5 linked regions of the Oryzias latipes genome follow. The protein of the gene in region 2 binds, or shares a complex with, the protein of the main gene of each other region. Links are inferred from orthologs where the notes say so. Each region holds a gene or a part of one and is shown on either strand. Other genes may lie near its edges. The genes, in order: coro2a, F-box-like/WD repeat-containing protein TBL1X, zer1, hdac3 and gps2.

Region 1 (4,190 bases), on a different chromosome or scaffold from region 2:
CAAATCTTCCTGTAATGACCGACTTTCATCACTAGAGGGCAACAAATTCCTCAAGATGAAGAGAAACCAAACCTCAAACCCATGAAATGACTTTCTGCAAGGCCTTTTTCATAATATTAACAGAAAAGCAAGGGATTGGTGTGGTTGGTGTTTATATAAACTTAAGCTAATACTTAAAATGCTCTTTTCCACACTGGAAACTAAAGAAAAGTGATTGTTTTCATGCTGTCAGCACAGCAGTTTCACTCCCTTCACTGATCCGAAAGTCCTGCAGACACACTGATGTTCAGCTCTTTCTTTCCTTTTGTGCTCCTGTCTGCAAATCCACAATTCCCCATACATCAAAACTACTCATACAAGTTGAGATTGAATCCTATTTGAAACATTATCTGGAGTTTGATTCATTTAGTTTAAAAATGGTTTTGATTAAATAATGTTTCATTTCATTTTAAATAAAAAGCTGCTCATGCAGGTGGAGGTTGACTGAAGGGTGAAGCTCCGAATGTTTATTTAGAGCCGGGCTCTACAACCTGAGGCTCCGGCGCCACATTGTGGCTCTTTGGCTTAGAAAACAAATGCACATAATTTGAATAATTACTGGGTTTGTTGTTTTGGTTCATTTCATTAGGATTATGTTTAGATTTTTAACATGTCAAATCACTGAGAAAAATGATGGTAAAGCGTTTAATCTACTGTGCATCCATCCATAATGATAGAAAGTTTGACTTTATTATACACTTTAAGTAAATCTGCTGCAGCAGGAAGACACACAGTGTATTTTATTTTGAAAGGAACTAGGATGTGCTGCTGGTAAAAGTAAAAGAAGTCAAGATTGTTGATTATAGAAAAAACAACTGTTGTCATTCAATTATTAATATTTATAAACTACTTTTATTCAGAAATGGCTTAATGGTCACAAAACATATAAAAAAGTATTTTTTCTAAAGGTGAAGTTTAGTTCTTGCTTGGTTTTCGTCATTAAAAAACTGGACCAAATGGCTCTTTTAGCGTTAAAAGGTTTGAAATGGATGTCCCAACGGTGACGTCATAATCCCACGTCAAGGTGGATTGATTCAGAATCTCCATTATTTTAGATCTCTACCCTTTACAAGTGGCTGAACTGGGACTAAAAGTGAAACTTAGATTACAAATTTTTTACATATTTTTTTAACTTTTTAAATGCTTCTGATATTAAAGCTATACAGCTTTAACGATTTGTATTGTTTAGCGGATCGTTTTGTGTTTTTATTTTGAAAAATCTTTGTGCGCGCGTGAAACCAAACTGATCTCCTGGCCCCTCCCTCCCTCCCCCTCCCCTCTCCCGCTCGTCCTCCTCTGGAAGCATCCTGTCTCTCCTCACATCTACCTCATGATCCACCGCCCTCCTCTTCCTCCTCCTCTTTGTTTTTTTCTTTTTTCCCGCGGTGGCGGTGCGTTTGTCCTGTTAGTTCCCGCTTGCTGCTGTTGTTGTTTGTCCACATCTGGGACCGTCAAGGTTAAACCGGGCGGTATGACTTAGTTTCTCCATAACGCTGCTTGTACTACTGGGAGGAGTGCCTGAATAAAAAAAGCCGGGTCCAGCAGCCGCTTCACACCACCTCCTGCCGCCTCCGCCTCCGCCTGCGCCCCATGACTGTTTCGAAGGTGAGTTCCCCGCAGAAGGTGGCAGCTCCGTCCCGGGGAGCGGCTGCCATGAGCGGACAGCTCTCCGGGGTGGAGCCGGCTCTTCCACCCGTCACCTCCAACTGTCAAACATCAGTGAAGTTTGTTGTTATTTTTTTCTTGCTTGGTTATAAATGACCCCTCCGGGTCTCTGTGACAGTGACATCATCTTTGTTTTTGTAGTGATGAAGCACAAACTCAAAAGGACAAACTAACCTTTTGTTTATTGTTATTATTTTCATTTATTGTGCTTCTAACATTTAGTGATTTATTGTGTTTTACTTTTGAAACTGTACAGTGGCCTTGAGTGTTTTAAAGGAGCTTTTAAATAAAATTCATAATGATTATTACCCAAATTAATCTTTTATATATATATATATATATATATATTAGTATTTTTAATATATGTTTAAAATTAAAGACCCACTCCAATGAAAAAATGCAGTTGGAAACAGTCAAACAGTGATGTTGGTGCAACAGCCTGCAGACTACAAGCTGGCTGCTCCGCTCCATTCCCATGCATCCACCTCCAGACCACTAGATCCGTCTTTGTGTTCCTCGTCTAAGCTGGACTCTGATTCTAATCTGTATGACTGCATAGCTCCGACATACATCACCTTTTTGGTTGCTCTGCTAATGTTAGGTTGGGGTTGTGAGGGATTGTAAGCTAGCGGGGGTGAGTGTAAACAGATGGATGATGGGAAACGAGGGTAGGCTTACTCTGCACAAACAGTCCCGCCCGCAACTCATAGGCAAATGATTGATGAACTCCTGGCGCTCTGCAGAAATTATGTCCTAGAAAACGACATAGGTTTTTGGATTTTGGATAAAACACGCATAGTTATAATTAAAAGAGTGGGACCTTATCGATGAATATGTTTGATATTTATTAGGCCTGCACAATATACCGCAAATTTATCGTTATCGCAATATCAAGCGGTGCAATATCCTTATCGCAAAAGACAGTGAAAATTGCAATAAATGGTTACTTTAAATGTGCTAAAACAATCTTATGGCAACTTGAAGTATTTAAAGAATCAAATAAATCCCTTAATGTGTTTGACCAATCGGAGTGACCCCTCACGTTGTTGACCAATCGGGTGGAGCCCTATTATGTTAGATGTTCTCCTCCTAAGTCGATGAGGGTCATTTGGAGTATAATTTTTAAACTGTTGCAATGAAATGGGAATGATGTTTTTGGTTGTTTTGCTCTTTGTTTCTATACTGCAAATTATATCGTTTTCGCAATATTAATCACCAATATCGCATATCGCGAGTTTTCCTCATATCGTGCAGCTCCAATATTTATTTTTACAATTCCATATTTATTTGATTTAGAGCTGCAGGTTTCAAACAACCAGCTATTTTGACTGAGAAGAGATGAAACTTATTAATATAGTGAAGACATTTTAATCAGAAGAAAGAATTTTTTGCTTAAAAAAATACAAATATTTGCTTTAAAGAACAATTAATAAATAAAAACTCGATGTATTGCATTTTTAAATGAAGATTAATTTAATTTCAGTTAATCCCATTTACTAGACTCACTGTATCCTCGTTTGGGGGTCCTGAGGTGATTAATGTCTTTATCAAACCATCTAAGATTGATTATTTGTGCATTTTATTATTGATCTAACTTGTTCAGATAAGCATTTGGAAAGACTTAAGCTAGATCTTTATTTACAGTCTTTAACAATGTGAAGTCTAATGAGCAAAATATTATATTAAAACACATTTTTTCTTTGACAATGTATTTTTTTAAAGAAACAGTTCTTCATAATACAGAAGCTTCATATTAAAAATGACAGTTGTTGGAGCAACAAGATCATTTTTAGCTCCACATCTAAAAACTATTTTGGTTCTATCAACGTGCAGATCTAGTATTTCAGCAATTCCTAGGATGTCTGGCTTTTCAACTGAGGCATCAGTTTTCTGTTTGACATCAGTTCACTTTCAGGTGTAGTTATACTTGGATCACAGACGGAGAACGATCATATCTGCTATTTTTAGCATCGGGAGGTCATCTGCTGAACCTTTGCAGCTGTGAGTTGATGTGTGCGTGTAAAAAAGAAAAAAGAGCCCTTACTCATAAACCTTACTGTCAGTAAGTAAAGGTTTGTCAGAATCCATCCATCCATGCATCCATCCATCCATCCATCCATCCATCCATCCATGCATCCATCCATCCATGCATCCATCCATGCATCCATCCATCCATCCATCCATGCATCCATCCATCCATCCATCCATCCATCCATCCATCCATCCATCCATCCATCCATCCATGCATCCATCCATCCATCCATCCATCCATCCATCCATGCATCCATCCATGCATCCATCCATCCATCCATCCATCCATGCATCCATCCATGCATCCATGCATCCATCCATGCATCCATCCATCCATCCATGCATCCATCCATCCATCCATGCATCCATCCATCCATCCATCCATCCATGCATCCATCCATCCATCCATGCATCCATCCATGCATCCATCATCCATCCATCCATCCATCCATCCA
Region 2 (3,513 bases):
GATGTATTTTAACATTAAACTGTTTTCACGTGTCAGAGACCTGGAGGAAGCTTTTAAAAACGTTGTTTGCCTCTTATAAGCCGTTCCACAGTGTCACTAATTGTAGCGACTCGTTCCAGGACGGTACGGTCTTCGACGGTCGACCCATCGAGTCGCTGTCGCTCATCGACGCAGTGATGCCAGACGTGGTGCAAACGCGGCAGCAGGCTTTCCGCGACAAACTCGCCCAGCAGCAGGCTGCATGCACCACTGCAGCTTCAACTTCTGGGAACCAGCCAAATGCACCAAAGAACGGAGAAGCCACCGTAAACGGAGAGGAGAACGGCACTCACGCCATGAGTAGGTCCAGTTTTCTCCCATCACCTCGCAGCAGGGCCGGAAGAGGAGGGAATCGGAGAGCAGACTTCTCGTGTAAAAGCTTTCGTGTAAAAAAAAACTTTTTTCTTTTTCACACCAGTGGCTGTACTTAAACTTAAATTCAAAATTCTTGTGCGGTTTAACTCTTTAGACCTACAGCCGCCCTGTCATTAATCATACGTGATAACAAGGCGCTGTCCATTTCTTTTGTGGCTGAAATCAGAGAGGAGCAGATCAGGTGGAGGAACAGACAAAGAGAACAAGGAGTAGATGTTTTTTGTTTTTTTTCCATTCTTTATAAGAATTTACGGTCACCAGATGGCAGCAGGAGGAGAATGTTAAGGTCAAAGGAAATGTGTAGAATTTGCAGACATGATTCCAAAACTCAAATAGGACATTTTTCCCCCGTTTTTACTTCAAAGTTTATTTAGAAACTCACAACAAAGAAACTGAAGCTTAAGTATGCAATTTAGTAGGAAAAACAGAAATACAAGAAAGCTATTTTAAAAAATAAAATACATATTTACTGTTGTAATTCTGTAGAAGCAGCACACTGAAATCCCAGTAACTGATGTACTTGTTCATATTTACTAGATCATATGGACATTGCAACCTGGAGGTGTGGTTTTGGCGATTTATGGTGCAGCTCTAATGGCGTACACTCTCCTCAGATAACCACAGGGAGCCCATGGAGACGGATGTTGACATTGAGATACCAGCCAGTAAAGCCACAGTGCTGCGAGGCCACGAGTCTGAAGTCTTTATCTGTGCCTGGAACCCCGTCAGCGACTTGTTGGCCTCTGGGTGGGTCCCCTGCTCCAGATTACCTGTTTTTATTTTTCTGAGCCTTTTTTGTGTGCAAGAGTCAATGTTTTACCTGATGAGATTATCAACGTTTTCACTTATTCAAGAACATTTTTACTGTAACAAAAATAAAAGGTCTGTCAGACAAGAAGTGCAGGTTTTCTTCATTCTGCATCCTGACCTCCCTGTGTTTGCTGTTCAGCTCGGGCGACTCCACCGCCCGCATCTGGAACCTCAATGAGAACACCAACTCCAACTCCACCCAGCTGGTGCTGCGCCACTGCATCAGAGAGGGCGGCCAGGATGTCCCCAGCAACAAAGACGTCACCTCACTGGACTGGAATGTGAGCTTTGGCATCCGCTCATCTCTCGTCTTTTTTCCTCAGCTGAGGACAGACGAGTAACAGAGATGTTTTGCTTCCATCCGACAGAGCGACGGGACCCTGCTGGCTACAGGTTCATATGATGGATTTGCCAGGATATGGACCAAGGACGGTATGCCATCCATCGCTGTCACACTCTCTCCTTCCCTGGTCATCCTTCTTTTTGTGAAAAACCCAAACAATATTGGTTTAGTTTTAGAAAATGTTTAAGAAAGTTCATTAATTTAAATTTAATTCATCAGGAAATCTGGCCAGCACTCTGGGGCAACACAAAGGACCCATATTTGCACTGAAGTGGAACAAGAAGGGAAACTCCATCCTCAGCGCTGGTGTGGATAAGGTACTTCTTTTATGCTGTGTTCTTAAATAATTTGACTTTTTTGTTGTTAAATCTAAAAATGTTATCCATAAACTGCAGAGCAAATTCTACTATCAAGTCTTTCGTTAAAGACTAAAACTAAGAATCTCACCTCAATAAGTTATGCAGGCATCAGAGTTCTGTTTAAAACTGACAGTGAATGCTGGGAAATGTTGTTGAAATGACCTTTTTTTTTTTCCAATCTTCCAGACGACAATCATTTGGGATGCACACACCGGGGAAGCCAAGCAGCAGTTTCCTTTTCACTCAGGTGAGTGAGACTACTCCCTGGTAGAAAATAAAACCCGTTACCTCCATCGCTGTAGCTTTCCACTCTAAAAGATAAAACCAGGTTCTAATGGCACTTTTTGACCCGCTGAGGAAGAAAAAAGTTTTTTTTGTGTTTTTGTTGTGACACAAATGGTCCCAAATGTCACATATGAGTCCTGTAGAAAAAACAAAAAAACCTTATTTTAAAATACATTTGTATTGCATTTTACATTATGTTTTAATACTATTAAAAGTATACCTGTTTGGATTAGTAGAAATATATATTTTTTAAAAAGTCAAACCTATTACAGTATTTGCAAATTAAGAAAAGAAAAACCTAAAATTATGTTTTTATTTAAGAAAATACAGTGATTGTAATTAGGGCTGTGGGATTAATGAATGTAATCCATTCATTAGAATTAAATGTAAGGCTTTCCCCTTTACGCTTACTTTCTCTGCTTTGGTTCCTGGTGTAATTTAGAAATAGAAGGTTTCTCAAAAGCTAATATGAGAGTTTTCTAAGAATATGAGACTTAATATTTCTTGAATGAGTCGGCCTGAGTCTGAAACAGTGGCTCCTTATTAAAACCTTAAAAACCAAGCTGGAAAAACTCATCTAAAGGAGTAAAGTTTTAGCCTCTGCTCTGCTTTCAGTCTATTTCCTGTTAGCATCATTTACCAGAATAAAAGCCTTTGTTTAGTTGGGTGTTGTCGTGAGTCCTGACGGCGTGTGAATGCTTCCGCAGCTCCGGCGCTGGATGTGGACTGGCAGAACAACACCACCTTTGCCTCCTGCAGCACAGACATGTGCATCCACGTGTGCCGCCTGGGCAGCGACCGGCCCCTCAAGACCTTCCAGGGCCACACGGTGAGCGCGTCCTCCGCCCCCCCCCCCCCCCCCCCCCCCCCCCACACACACACACACACACACACACCCTGACCTCGTTTCAGTCCAGGCTGCCGCAGCCCCTCACCTAACCAGTGCCGCCGCGTTTTTCAGAATGAAGTCAACGCCATCAAGTGGGATCCATCGGGTATGCTGCTGGCCTCCTGCTCAGACGACATGACCTTAAAGGTGAGAGGGGTCCACACGGATGTGAGGCGCTGAAAGTTGAATACGGCGGCTTATTTTCATAATGTCGCACGCAGATTTGGAGCATGAAACAGGATTCCTGCGTCCACGACCTCCAGGCTCACAGTAAAGAAATCTACACTATTAAGTGGAGTCCCACAGGGCCCAGCACAAATAATCCCAACTCCAACATCATGCTCGCCAGGTAGGAAACCTGACCTGTAATGCAGAGTTACTCAGCTTTTGGTAGTCTGGGTTCTGCTGTCGGA
Region 3 (3,513 bases), on a different chromosome or scaffold from region 2:
GGGGCTGTCATCATCTTCTGTTAAAAAAATGATGCTTGTTTATATATTACTGCTTTCAATGTTTGCGTTTTCTTTCATGCTGTGTATAAGAAAAAAGAAAAAAACAGGCTTTAAATAACAAACATCCTTTATTTAGCTTTTATTTTATTTTATTTTAATTGTATTATTTATATTATTTAGCTTTCTTTACATCCAATCCGTTCCATAAATCCAGGCCACAAGTTGATTAGCACATTTTCTTTTTGAAGTATGAGTGCTCTGCTTTTTGTTCAGCTGTTTTCTTAAATTGTAACTCTCATCTCTGTCCTTGAACATTTGCTGTAAGTTTATTTTGGTATCAAGTTATTTTTGGCTTTAAACATGCTGTGTGCTGTTTTAAGTTTCACTACTTCCCAAAAATTCAATAAACCAACTTTAAAAATAGTGCGTTTGTGTGTGTCCCATAATCTACACCATAAACTGTTCCAATAGTCTTTTTTGGTAAGACATACAAACACTATAGATTTGCTTTATAAGTATTTCCCCAAACTTCTACACTGTATTGTAAATATGGTAGTATTATGGATGAATATATTTGTAGATGTGCTTTGTGAGTGACTGTATGACACGTTTTTCCCAACACTGATACGCTTTTACCAATTTTGGCTCTGACTTGCTTTATATGTGGCTTCCAGATTATTTTGTTGTCCATAATTACTACTAAAACTCAATTTCAGTCACTCTTTCCAGAACATGCTTTTCATTAGAAACATTTATTTCTAAATCTGCAGGAATATGGCGATTTCCAAAAAATCATGAATTTATTTTGTTAACATTGAGTGAAAGTTTATTTTGTCGAATCATTTTGAAATCACATACAGAGGAGGGGATCTATATGTTTACTATATGTTTACTATATGTGTTTAATGTAAATCATATATCTATATTAGTTCAGTGCGTGACTTTCAGGTGATTAAACGCTGCAGTGTGAGAAATCCTTCTAGAAGTGTGACCGTCTCTTCTCTGTGCATCGTCTCCTTCCTGCAGGAGTTTCCAGACAAGCAGGAGCTTCATCGCAACATGCTGGGGCTGCTGGGAAACGTGGCGGAGGTCAAGGCTCTGCGGCCACAGCTGCTCACGCCGCAGTTCATCTCTGTCTTTAGGTAAAGGCTGGCAGCAGGGGGCGCTCTCTGCTTCTGCACAAACACTGCTCAAGCACTGCACAAGCACTGCTGTTTACACGGTCTAACTAACATACACATTTAGTATTTACATGTAGTATGACTACAGTAGTATTACTTAGGAGTAATGGGAATCTCAGTACAACCAGAAGTAATCACAGTCACTACACAGACAGGATCAGAAACGCAGACTGAATCAGAAACGCAAATGGGATGGGAAAAACAGGTGGAATCTGGAAATGCGGGGGAAATCAGAAACCCAGACGGGATCGGAAACGCAAACGGGATCAGAAAAATGGGTGGGATCTCGAAACGCAGACGGGATCGGAAACGCAGACGGGATCGGAAAAATGGGGAGGATCTGGAACCCTCTTGTTATAGAGAGCTCTCTACTTCCGCTTTCTCTCCCGCTAGCTTACAGCCCCTCAGAACCCTAACCTAGTATTACTGTTAGCGAGCAAAATCTGAGCTATTCAGCCGTACGGTGCTGATCCAGATTTTCCAGGAAAACAAAGTCGCCTGCAAGCGGATGCATGAAACCAGGGGTTGACATTTGACATTTTGGCTAAAGATGTCCTGTATCCATTTTAGGTCAATGAATCAGGTCGAATCGAATCAGCAACCACAAATTATAAAAATGAATCGAATTGTTAAAGTGAAACTTTATACCCTCTTCTCAGAATGGATCAGAGCAGGGAGTTTTTTATCTCACCCAACATATTTCCTGTGTTACAAATAAGCTTTTTTCTAAACTCCATTTTTATCGTCTGCTCCTGTTTTACAACACTTTGAACAAACACTCAGAAATGCCATTTTAAGCTTAACTTTCTTTATATTTGTCCTCATCTACAGAAAAAATGCTACAAAAACATGTTAAAAACACCATCTTGGTTGTTGGGTTTTCCTAAAGTAACTCCTCGTCTCTCCGTTGCAGCAACCTGCTGGACAGCAAGGCTGACGGGATCGAGGTGTCGTACAACGCGTGCGGTGTCCTGTCACACATCATGTTCGACGGCCCTGAGGTTTGGGCCATGCAGGAGCCGCGCCGGGAGCTGGTCATGGACAAGATGTGGGAGGCCATCCGGAGCTGGGACGTCAGCTCACGCCGCAACATCAACTACAGGTGTGATCAGAGTCGCCTCTCATCAGAAGTGTCAGGGGGTCAGAGGTCAGCTCTGGTTTGCGGTGGCTTCAATCCATCATCTCTAACAACCGATTCAGTCCAGCTGAACCGAGACCAGAACTGCCCTCAAAACAGTTCTGACCAATCAGAGACCTGCAATCCTGACTACTCAGGAGGTGCTGTAACAGACGGTAGCTAACATCTGAAGACTAATCTGATCCGTCAGCGTTTCTTACACCGTTGCTTCACAAACCGCATCTAGAAACCAGAACCTTCCAGAGATTTTGAATTTTCTAAAATATTTCTAACTGGAATTATTCTCAGCCGAGAACAAAATCTGCAGACATTTTAGATGTGTTCTCGCGCCCGTCTACTTGAGGTTTTAGTGCCTCTGAAAGGGCTGGGTTGATAAAATTGATTAATCGATCTGAATAGATCCAAACGTAATAAATCAATAATCAATCCATAAAATAGAGATCAATCTGTCATGCCTTTCCGGTGATCTGACAGATGAAGGCAGTAAAGCCAAAGTCTGCTAGCTTGATGCTAACGTATAATGGAATTTCTCATAGGACGGCTAATGATAACACAATAAATGAACAGCTTTATATACTCACAGGCAGATTCCTTTAAATAAACTTTTTTTTAAAAACCATTTGTGGTCTAAAGCGCAGCTTTTTGCTCAAATCTTCTGGATTAAAGTCTAACGCTATAGAGACCAAACACGGGTTTCTTAATTATCTGCACATTTTTGTTGGAGCTTCTCCGTATGTGTAGCATGTGAACTGTATGAGATTAATATGAATATCTGTTACAGTATTGTATTTCTGTACAAATATTTCTAAATGTGTAAAATGTATACATTTAAAATGTAATCAAATCGAGCGGATGGAAAGAATTGATCCAGGCTCTGGTTAAATCCAATCGATTCTAGAAATTATTGGTGATACCTAGCCCTGATCTCTGACATAGTTTCATAACCATTTAGATTTGAAACCCTTAAAAGTATATTTAGTCGGTAAAAACAAGTCTTCAGCATGCAGTTGCTCCCTTTTTTGACAAACCCGATGTCACCAGCTGCAAATGCTGGCTCCACGCTCCTCCCAAAAGGGCTATATAGGCTACGCTAGCCTGTTACCATTGTCCAAGATACGACAAGAGCGACGCCATACTGCAAAGGGCGGGAAACGATGAGACACGGCTTAGCAGATACAGTAGAATGACCATAAA
Region 4 (4,218 bases), on a different chromosome or scaffold from region 2:
TTTAGAAGCCTGGCCGACGGTGGCGGAGCGCGACGCCATCTTGGTGAGGTCGACGACGCCCACATGACAATGATTTCTATTGCTTTTAGAGGTGTCTAAGTAGCTTTTATATACTATATATGTTTTTACAATTTATATATATTTATAAATATATGTAAATACATTATATTTATATATATAATATATATATATATATAGATACATCATTTGTTGTTGTTAAAGAAGAGAAACAGTCAGCCTTAAAAGCTCAAACTTTAATGAAAATGCATTGTTGCAGGACTTCTTACAAATAAAAAAATTATTACAAAGAATTAAAAAAAAATAATTTGTAAACATTTAGGAATTTTAGACCTCTTTGACATGTAATTTAAATTATTTAGAAAAACCCAACAATAACTCAATAATAATAATAATAATAATAATAATAATAATAATAATAATAATAAATCAATAGTAAGTCAATACAAACAATAAATAATAGCAATACATACATAATAAGTCAATAAATAATAAAATATAAGTCTATTATTATTATTATTATTATTATTATTATTATTATTATTATTATTATTAATAATAATAATAATAATAATAATAATAATAATAATAATAATAATAATAATAATAAAATAAATATTCAAAAGAATTCCAAAAGTGAACAATAGATTTACCCTAAAATAACAACAACAAAGAAAAATAATAGATTCATGTGAGTGATCAATTTGTGTAACACAGATGGTATGGTGTCAGGTTTCAAGCTAACAGTCTGGCCTCTTATCTAAATTGGTTTCCACAAATGTTTTGAACAGTCAGACTGTATTACTAGTTGGTACCACAGTGATCCATCTGGGTTAGCTCTTTTTATTGCTAAGATCCACTTTTTCCTTAAGTCTGAATAGTGAATAGTGAAAAGTTCGGTCACTGAGTCAGACATGTATAAATCTATATTACTATAATAGCCTAGTATGCTGTATACAGGTTTAGCAAAATAAAATGTACATTTATGTCGACAGCAAATTCTCCGTACATCATGCAGCATGTTGATAATAACCCTGCAGCATCATGCATGTCAACATGTGTTCTATTAATAAAAGAAAAACAAAAGAAAAAGAAAGAAACAAAAGAAAAAAATTATAATACTTTTCTATGAAATGATATACTTCTTCTTTCATGGACTCAGTTCTCTGATTTTGGCAGTTGAAACACAAACAATGAACTGGTATTATGCAAAAAATGTGTTCAAATGCATTCACTGCAGCAGTAACTTGACCTCACCAAGATGGCGGTGCTCTCCTCCCATGAGGAACCACGTGATGTTTCCTCTAGTGATCATCACTCATTGGTTTAAACTCACTCCGCCATCTTGAGACCCCCTGTTCGCCCCTCCCCTCTCCATCCCCTGCGTCCCAGCATGATGACGTCACCTTTAAATGTTTACGGTTAGCCGTTAGCGGCAGGAAAAATGCGGCAGACTGAGCCGCTCTTTAAAAAGTAAAACCTCGCTGAATCTCAGGATTATTATTATTTTTTTTACATTTAAAATGTCTATTAGGACGTCTTACTTTTACGACCCAGATGTGGGAAACTTTCATTACGGTGAGTTTGCTGAACGCTGGGATTGGAGCAGGAGTGCTAATGCAAGCTAGCTGGAGGAGGCTAACAATTCAAACGATTCATTGTTAAAATTCAGCTCCAATTTTGTTTCTGGGTTTAATTAAGATATTTTTTTTTATCTCATTCATATGTTCAGGCCAGTGTGTTGTAGGTGAGTAATGAACACATAACGTCACATTTGGGTGCAAAGGAAAAGAATATTGTAGCGATCCTGCCCACGGCAGGAGTGTATGTAGATACTTAGGGTTATCTGTTGGTGTTTTTAAACCCTGACTGAGTTGGTTATTTCCAGGCAACATATTTGCAATTTGTATTCTATACAGGAATGGGCTATTATACTATATACCAATTAAGCTGAGGAGTACTGATTCTAGATTTAGGTAATAGAAAGGTTAATAATAATTAATTATGTCCTTACCCGTTTCTGTTATCATGAAAACTTTTAGGTCTTAATCACTTCCAGCTGTTTATAATCTCTGAACAGTTTGGGATTATCATTGATTTGGTTTTTTTATTAGTGTGAGCTCAGTTCAAAGCTGCTGTGAGTCCACAAAGAGCTGATCACTGCAGGATAAAAATGGAGACCAAAATCTAAAACAAGTGTTTGTCCCAAAGCATTCACGGCCTCTGATTGACAAAACGATTGTTGACAGAGTGTGATCGTGGTTTCTCTGGTTTTTATAGGTCTAAAAAGAAAAGACAACAACAAACAAACATTTACAGAACCGACAGCTGCAGCAGATTCAAACTAAATGGAGGGATTCTGCAGCATTTTTTTTAATCTTCTTTCCTGTTGGTCGTGAAAACGCGTTGGAAGTGTAATCATGTTGAAATGGAGCTGATGATGAAAAAGTGATGATGCTTGTTGTGAACCGCGTCTCCTGCAGGTGCCGGTCATCCCATGAAGCCTCACCGTTTGTCTCTCACCCACAGTCTGGTGTTGCATTATGGGTTATATAAAAAGATGATGGTGAGACACTCCTGAAGGTCCAGAACCTGCTTCCACTGTTGCTTCGAGATCAAAGATTGAACTCTGCAGTTTCTCTGTGACCGTCAGGTTTTTAAGCCGTACAAAGCCTCTCAGCACGACATGTGCCGGTTCCACTCTGAAGATTACATCGACTTCCTGCAGAAGGTCAGCCCCAACAACATGCAGGGCTTCACCAAGAGCCTGAACACCTTCAACGTTGGAGATGACTGGTGAGCGCTGCTGCTGCTGCTCCTCCTCTTCATCGATCTGTCTTCTGCTTTTGGTTCATGCAAATGTGAGCACTAACCCAACGGCGGGCTCTAGTCCTGTGTTTCCAGGACTCTTTGAGTTCTGTTCCAGATACACGGGGGCGTCTCTGCAGGGCGCCACGCAGCTCAACCACAAGGTAAGCCGTCCGCTTTTCTCCATCACTGGGTTTGTCATGAACCGTCACTCATGGACTCCTCTAGTAACGGATATTCAGCTCCATTTAGGAATTATTCACAGGGTCAGACTTTAAATGTTTACATGATCATAAAGGGCTGCAGATTTTTTACACCACAATCGATCATCATACTGAACGATTTCTCTATTAGACCGAGGAAATATTCCAAACTGCGTCACCCGGATAAACGAGAACCTTCAGCCACATTCAACGCAATCATTTAAAAAAGAAAATGGTTTGCTTATTATTTATCAAACATCGTTACTCACAGGAAGGTCACAAATAAGCTAAATGTTTGGTTTTTTTTACATGTTTTTGCAGCATTAATAGAGTTAATAGTTAAATATTCTGGAGTTTGTAACAAACATAGCAGCTTCAGTTCTTAAAAATATAAAAAAAAACAATGTTATTTTCAAGCTGCGTCTTAAAAAAATAGTTTCAGCAAATGTTTGGGGAAAAAACAGCCAAAGTTGTCAGCATGAAGCTGGAAATGTTTGGAAATTTGCATTTGTCTTCATTTGTGGCGATCTCATTTTTTAACAGCACATTGTGTTCTGCGTCCTGATTCGCTGTTGACCTTGTCAATCAATCTCCTCTGTGCCAAATCATCATCAGATCTTTGTTTGCATTCTATAAAACTGGATTTATTCTCCTAGTGTGCAAATGTGTGAAAGTGAGGAGTTATCCGACTGTCACCACAGACATCCATGGATGTATATCAATCCACAGATATACATACAGAAAACAATATCATTGAGTAGACGTTTGTCATCATCAGGACAGCTGATCCAGTTTTGAGCTGCTTTATAGTAAAACATGGTCCTTCACTGTTTGGTTCTGATTCGGAACATTAAGCTGGTTTGGACTGAAAAGCAGCAGCAAAGCAGCTTTCAATGCCAACCTTTTATAGACATCTTGGAAGACATTTCTAAATCATTTTCTTTATTTCTGTCTAAAAAGAAAGTCCTACATTTCGTAGCTGTTTTCTGTGTAAACAGGGCTTCTTTATTGGAATTAAAAGTTTAAAACGGTGACTCCAGCCGCTCGTTTCCTTTCATCTGAGACAGTAAAAAGACGAAAGATGTACTTTATTGAAAAACCTGGAATCATTGGAGTGTCATTTACCTTTTATTTATAATTATTGAAACTGCAACAGAATAAAAATAAAAACATTTTTAGGCTCCAAGCA
Region 5 (4,267 bases), on a different chromosome or scaffold from region 2:
AAATGCCGTCCCTAGAGATAAGCCAGAGGAAGTGAGAAAACCTGGGAAAAAGAGTGACTTGATTGACAACATTTGATTGACATTTTCCACAAAAAAAAATGTTTTGTGTAGTTGCTAGGCCACCAAAAAAAATTATTTTTCATACACAGTGGGATAAACACTTTAAAAATATATTTTCTGTATTAAAAAGCTGGTTTGGAATTTAGGTAGGGCTTTAGACTCTGACAAAAAGTTGTTAAAAACAGAGTTTCAGCGGTGAACCTTCCATTAACTTACTTTTATTTTCAAAATAAAATAGCTATAAACATGATAAATAGAAGTGCTCGAAAAAGGAGTGGGTACAAGGAAAATCTTATTAATTCCCACCACCAATCTTACTATATTTAATACATACATTTTTACTAATAAAAATTAAAAACATAAAATAACTGAAGGGGAAAAAATAAATAAAAGCATCTAGGAACCAAACATCACATTTCTCCTTTTCTAATTTATACATTTCCAAAATGTTCAGGTTGCACTTTTTTCTCCATTGTGTTTATCATTTTTACTCATTTTCACAGACAGAAATGTTGACTTTTTTGGGCTGTCCGTACACAAGGTTGTTTAAAGAATATCCTCCTTCCTTGTTCTTAAACAGTTTTGTTCTGTGGAGGTGGTTTTGTTTTAGCTTGATACATTTTTTTTGATTTAGAGAATAAAATGTTCATAATAGTCCACTTTATTATTTTTGGTTATATGCAAAGTGGCTATACGCAGGTTTTGTAGGCATTACTCGGGTTAGAACCGAAGTAAAGCAAAGCAGCTTGGCCCAGGCTTTTCCAAACAACAGAACTAAGTAAAGAACTTAACAAGACGTTTTTTTAACAGCCCACTTGTACTTACAGGGATCACGGTTGTTGTGTACAACTGTTTGTTTCTTTCTCCAAGTAGTGCTCCAGCTCGACTGTGGCTCACTGGACTACCTACCCTCAAAAAAAGAAATAAATAAACAAACAAAATGATCTTAGTGCTGAAATTAGCTAACAAAACATACAACCTTTTTATGAAATGTGTATTCATGGTTTAGTAGCTCACCTTGAATATTAAGGAGGTGCTGTCCTGTGTGCATGGGCAGGCTCTGTTGGTAACTGGCAGATGTCAGCGTTGTTATATCACTGATAACAGAAGGAGGCGCAAAATTACAAGAGGCATCATTCGTGGACTAAACAACTGTTGAATGAAAATACCTCTGCTCCTTTCTGCGCCTCTTCTCCTCCTCATGGAGAACCTTTTTGAGTTGCAGAAACAGCTGATGCTTTTCTTCTTGAAGTCCCTGAAGTTTTTCTCCCATTTTCATCACCTGACATCAGGGGAGAAATGTCATTAAAAGGAAGAACTAAAGAGTCAGTTAAAAATCCTAAAATAAGGGTCATCTTTGATGGCAGGTGCTCACCTGTTCTTTGGTTTCCTCTAATGACATCCTTTCCTCTATTTCTTTGGTTCTTTTCCTCTCCTCCTCCTCCTTCAGCTTTTGCTCCATCATTTTATCCACCTCCTCTTCCTCTGAAAGGTTACAGGGACAAGATTTAGCATCACCTGTAACACTTTCACACATCTGAAACATGATAAAGTTACTTGTAATGATAATTGTCAAGAAGGTCAGAGACAGATTTTAGAGACCCACTCCAATGAAAATTATATGTTTGGTATTTTAAACATGTTCTTGTGGCCTTTTTTTTTCATGATAGAGGAGATATATAATTTTTTTTTTATTCAAATCATTGTGAATCAGGAGTAGATGTAAAAACGTCATTGTAAAAAGCTCACAGTTTTGACATAGACCCAACAGCAAGCCACAAGCAGCCTGCTCTGCTCCATTATGAGGCCTCCACTTGGAGGCAAAAAAAATCCATGTGAGGTACTGTTGTTCTGCAAAAACTACGTCCTAGAAAACGATACAGACTTTTTGATTTAGCCTAAAACCGGCAGAATCATAATAAACTGGCCACTGGGAACGCTTTTAAAACAGATCAAGATTTGATTGGAGTGGGCCTTAAATGAAATCTCCTAGAAAATCAAAGAAGAATGATTATTTCTGTTCGGTTAACTTACTTCTCCTTTTCATTTGATGACACTGACCTTGTCTTTTGCGCTCCCTCTCCCTCATGATGTGCTTGTGGAGGGCTCTGGCCATCGCGTTGGACAGTTTCGGTCTCTCCAACAAGGCAGGCATGGTCACTGGTAACGGAGGGGCCAGCTGTTTTAAAGTTCAGAGGTTTAGTATAAGTGGGCTAAAAAGACTCAAGTAATTTTACTGAAAATTGAACTAAATAAACCTTTTAATCTGTTTTGGAAGGGTTTATACCGAGCCATGACCTAGCTTAATTTAAACAAGTACTGCGTGATGCTAGCCTGAACAAGGATAAGACGGCAAAATCTTTAAAAATAATAAACCCGCTAATCTAGCAGCAAAATTTAACATGAATGTTTGTGATAAGTAAGATACGTCCAAGACAAACATGCGTATATCTGTGTGCAAAAAGACCCAATTGTTAGCTAAAGTTAGCCACACCAGCTAAACAAATAAGTGCGCGACGGAGTTTATACTATATTATTTTAATGCTTGCTAACAGCTAATTTATTTCAGAAAAGATGCTTACTTTTATCGTTAATGTTGCCGTTTTTAAGAACCAGACTGTGTCGCCTTTTGTAATATCTACCTTTTTGCTTTTATCCGGCAAAACTTTCGGCCGCGAATATAAACAGAGGTTTTAGGACCGGGGGAAAGAGTTCTACTTCCGGTTAAAAGACACGGCTGCCCCATTTGCATCATGGGAATTTGCGTTTCAATGTGGAGTTTAAATTCAGACCAACACTTTTAGATCTTCTAAATCTAGCTTAAGTGGATTTCAGAAGTCACATTTTGAACTACAGAATTTAAAAACAGTATTAATTGTAAAATAAAAATGTTGCACTCATATTTTTAAATTTAAGTTAGCCTATATTTTGTAATAAGGACATTCCAATGCCCCCATTTTTTAATAACTTTCTCTATATTTACAGACTATATATATAACCTTTTTTTTATACTAACAGCCACGTACTTCTAAAATCAAAAGACCAAACTTACCTAGGTTTATCAAGAGAGATAAAATACTTTAAACATATTCCTATTTTTCTTTTGTATGTTTTGTTTAACTTTCATATCAAAGATAGGCAACAGTTTTTCCATTTAGGACTAGATCCCACCTTTTTTTAATGACCTTTTAATCTTAATGTAATTTTTTTACTATCCAGTAAAATCATCAGACCATAAAAAAAGTCAGGAAACAAATATCAACTTTCATAACATTTTATCATATACGATCATGAGTGGAGAGAAAGAGCCATTAATGCAGCCGTATACAGAGTTCTACTGTAAATCCTTTTTAAAAAATAAGAAACTTAAAAAGAAAATTACACTCAGCTTTACAACTTCTTTAGAAAGTGAGCCACCTAAAATTAACAATAATAACAACAATAATCATATTAGCTGTCAAAATAATTTTACCACTGAAAGCAGAGAATGATTGAGCAGTCTGAATCCTATTATAGTCCTCGCAAAGATTAAATATGAGGAAGGAAATACTAGTGTTTTGGGATTTAACAATTTAATAAAAATAAAGCTTACCGTGACCTCTTTAAATTTAAAATAAAATAAATCAAAAGGAAAAAAAAAAAAGATCACTACCGCTGGCAGCACTATCACTATTCTTTTGAAAATTATTGACTTTAAAACATAAACCAAAATCTTTTTCATCATCAAAGTCTTGTCAAAATTTGACAAGCACTATTTATACTTATTACCAGGCAGGGGTCAATTTAACTCAACAAATTCTGCCTCTGTTTTCTGCACTCAGAAGTAAATACAAGCGCATAGCGGTTGAGATTTTATTTTCACTTTTCTTTATCAGGCATTCTGTGGAGTACGATTCCCAAAAACCAAACCAGAGAAGGCAAATACAATTCAGACTGCAAAATAGAAAAAGTCATAAATGAATATGTAAAAGATTGTGTTTGTGAGAAGTGAAAGTGCAGATGACATTTACTCTGGGAACTCTACACTGCCAAGCTGGATTTTACTTTTTAAATGAATGAATGACAAAGGTCTCAGAAAGGTGGTTGAAGGGGATCACATTTCCCTTTGGCTGTTCCCATACACACTCTCATCACTGTAGGCAATGTAGAGGAAAAAGTCCTCTTCGTGGTGCTCCTGAGGAAATCAAATAGAGTAAAATAAGAGGAA

Evidence for each region.
Region 1: F-box-like/WD repeat-containing protein TBL1X (region 2) and coro2a share a complex: the UniProt entries of both Homo sapiens proteins name them as parts of the N-Cor repressor complex. The link is inferred for Oryzias latipes from reciprocal best matches to the Homo sapiens genes TBL1X and CORO2A.
Region 3: F-box-like/WD repeat-containing protein TBL1X (region 2) and zer1 share a complex: the UniProt entries of both Homo sapiens proteins name them as parts of the E3 ubiquitin ligase complex. The link is inferred for Oryzias latipes from reciprocal best matches to the Homo sapiens genes TBL1X and ZER1.
Region 4: F-box-like/WD repeat-containing protein TBL1X (region 2) and hdac3 share a complex: the UniProt entries of both Homo sapiens proteins name them as parts of the N-Cor repressor complex. The link is inferred for Oryzias latipes from reciprocal best matches to the Homo sapiens genes TBL1X and HDAC3.
Region 5: F-box-like/WD repeat-containing protein TBL1X (region 2) and gps2 share a complex: the UniProt entries of both Homo sapiens proteins name them as parts of the N-Cor repressor complex. The link is inferred for Oryzias latipes from reciprocal best matches to the Homo sapiens genes TBL1X and GPS2.

Annotation. Positions count from the first base shown.
Region 1 is NC_019859.2:16,847,921-16,852,110, forward strand, and holds the start of coro2a (coronin-2A), read left to right. Parts: upstream 1-1,379; 5' UTR 1,380-1,629; coding exon 1,630-1,644; intron 1,645-4,190.
Region 2 is NC_019879.2:24,121,234-24,124,746, reverse strand, and holds part of F-box-like/WD repeat-containing protein TBL1X, read left to right. Parts: intron 1-119; coding exon 120-339; intron 340-1,028; coding exon 1,029-1,161; intron 1,162-1,363; coding exon 1,364-1,505; intron 1,506-1,592; coding exon 1,593-1,656; intron 1,657-1,786; coding exon 1,787-1,884; intron 1,885-2,112; coding exon 2,113-2,173; intron 2,174-2,918; coding exon 2,919-3,040; intron 3,041-3,172; coding exon 3,173-3,247; intron 3,248-3,321; coding exon 3,322-3,449; intron 3,450-3,513. UniProt on the Homo sapiens protein: F-box-like protein involved in the recruitment of the ubiquitin/19S proteasome complex to nuclear receptor-regulated transcription units. Plays an essential role in transcription activation mediated by nuclear receptors.
Region 3 is NC_019870.2:27,326,336-27,329,848, forward strand, and holds part of zer1 (protein zer-1 homolog), read left to right. Parts: intron 1-1,026; coding exon 1,027-1,142; intron 1,143-2,094; coding exon 2,095-2,283; intron 2,284-3,513. UniProt on the Homo sapiens protein: Serves as substrate adapter subunit in the E3 ubiquitin ligase complex ZYG11B-CUL2-Elongin BC. Acts to target substrates bearing N-terminal degrons for proteasomal degradation with the first four residues of substrates being the key recognition elements.
Region 4 is NC_019868.2:25,322,746-25,326,963, reverse strand, and holds the start of hdac3 (histone deacetylase 3), read left to right. Parts: upstream 1-1,407; 5' UTR 1,408-1,541; coding exon 1,542-1,596; intron 1,597-2,501; coding exon 2,502-2,584; intron 2,585-2,671; coding exon 2,672-2,814; intron 2,815-2,908; coding exon 2,909-2,990; intron 2,991-4,218. UniProt on the Homo sapiens protein: Histone deacetylase that catalyzes the deacetylation of lysine residues on the N-terminal part of the core histones (H2A, H2B, H3 and H4), and some other non-histone substrates.
Region 5 is NC_019876.2:14,446,282-14,450,548, reverse strand, and holds the start of gps2 (G protein pathway suppressor 2), read right to left. Parts: upstream 2,810-4,267; 5' UTR 2,703-2,809; exon of another isoform or gene 2,643-2,702; intron 2,240-2,642; 5' UTR 2,216-2,239; coding exon 2,095-2,215; intron 1,546-2,094; coding exon 1,436-1,545; intron 1,343-1,435; coding exon 1,230-1,342; intron 1,158-1,229; coding exon 1,078-1,157; intron 966-1,077; coding exon 886-965; intron 12-885; coding exon 1-11. Other genes in the region: gabarap (gamma-aminobutyric acid receptor-associated protein), read right to left, coding at 4,154-4,234. UniProt on the Homo sapiens protein: Key regulator of inflammation, lipid metabolism and mitochondrion homeostasis that acts by inhibiting the activity of the ubiquitin-conjugating enzyme UBE2N/Ubc13, thereby inhibiting 'Lys-63'-linked ubiquitination.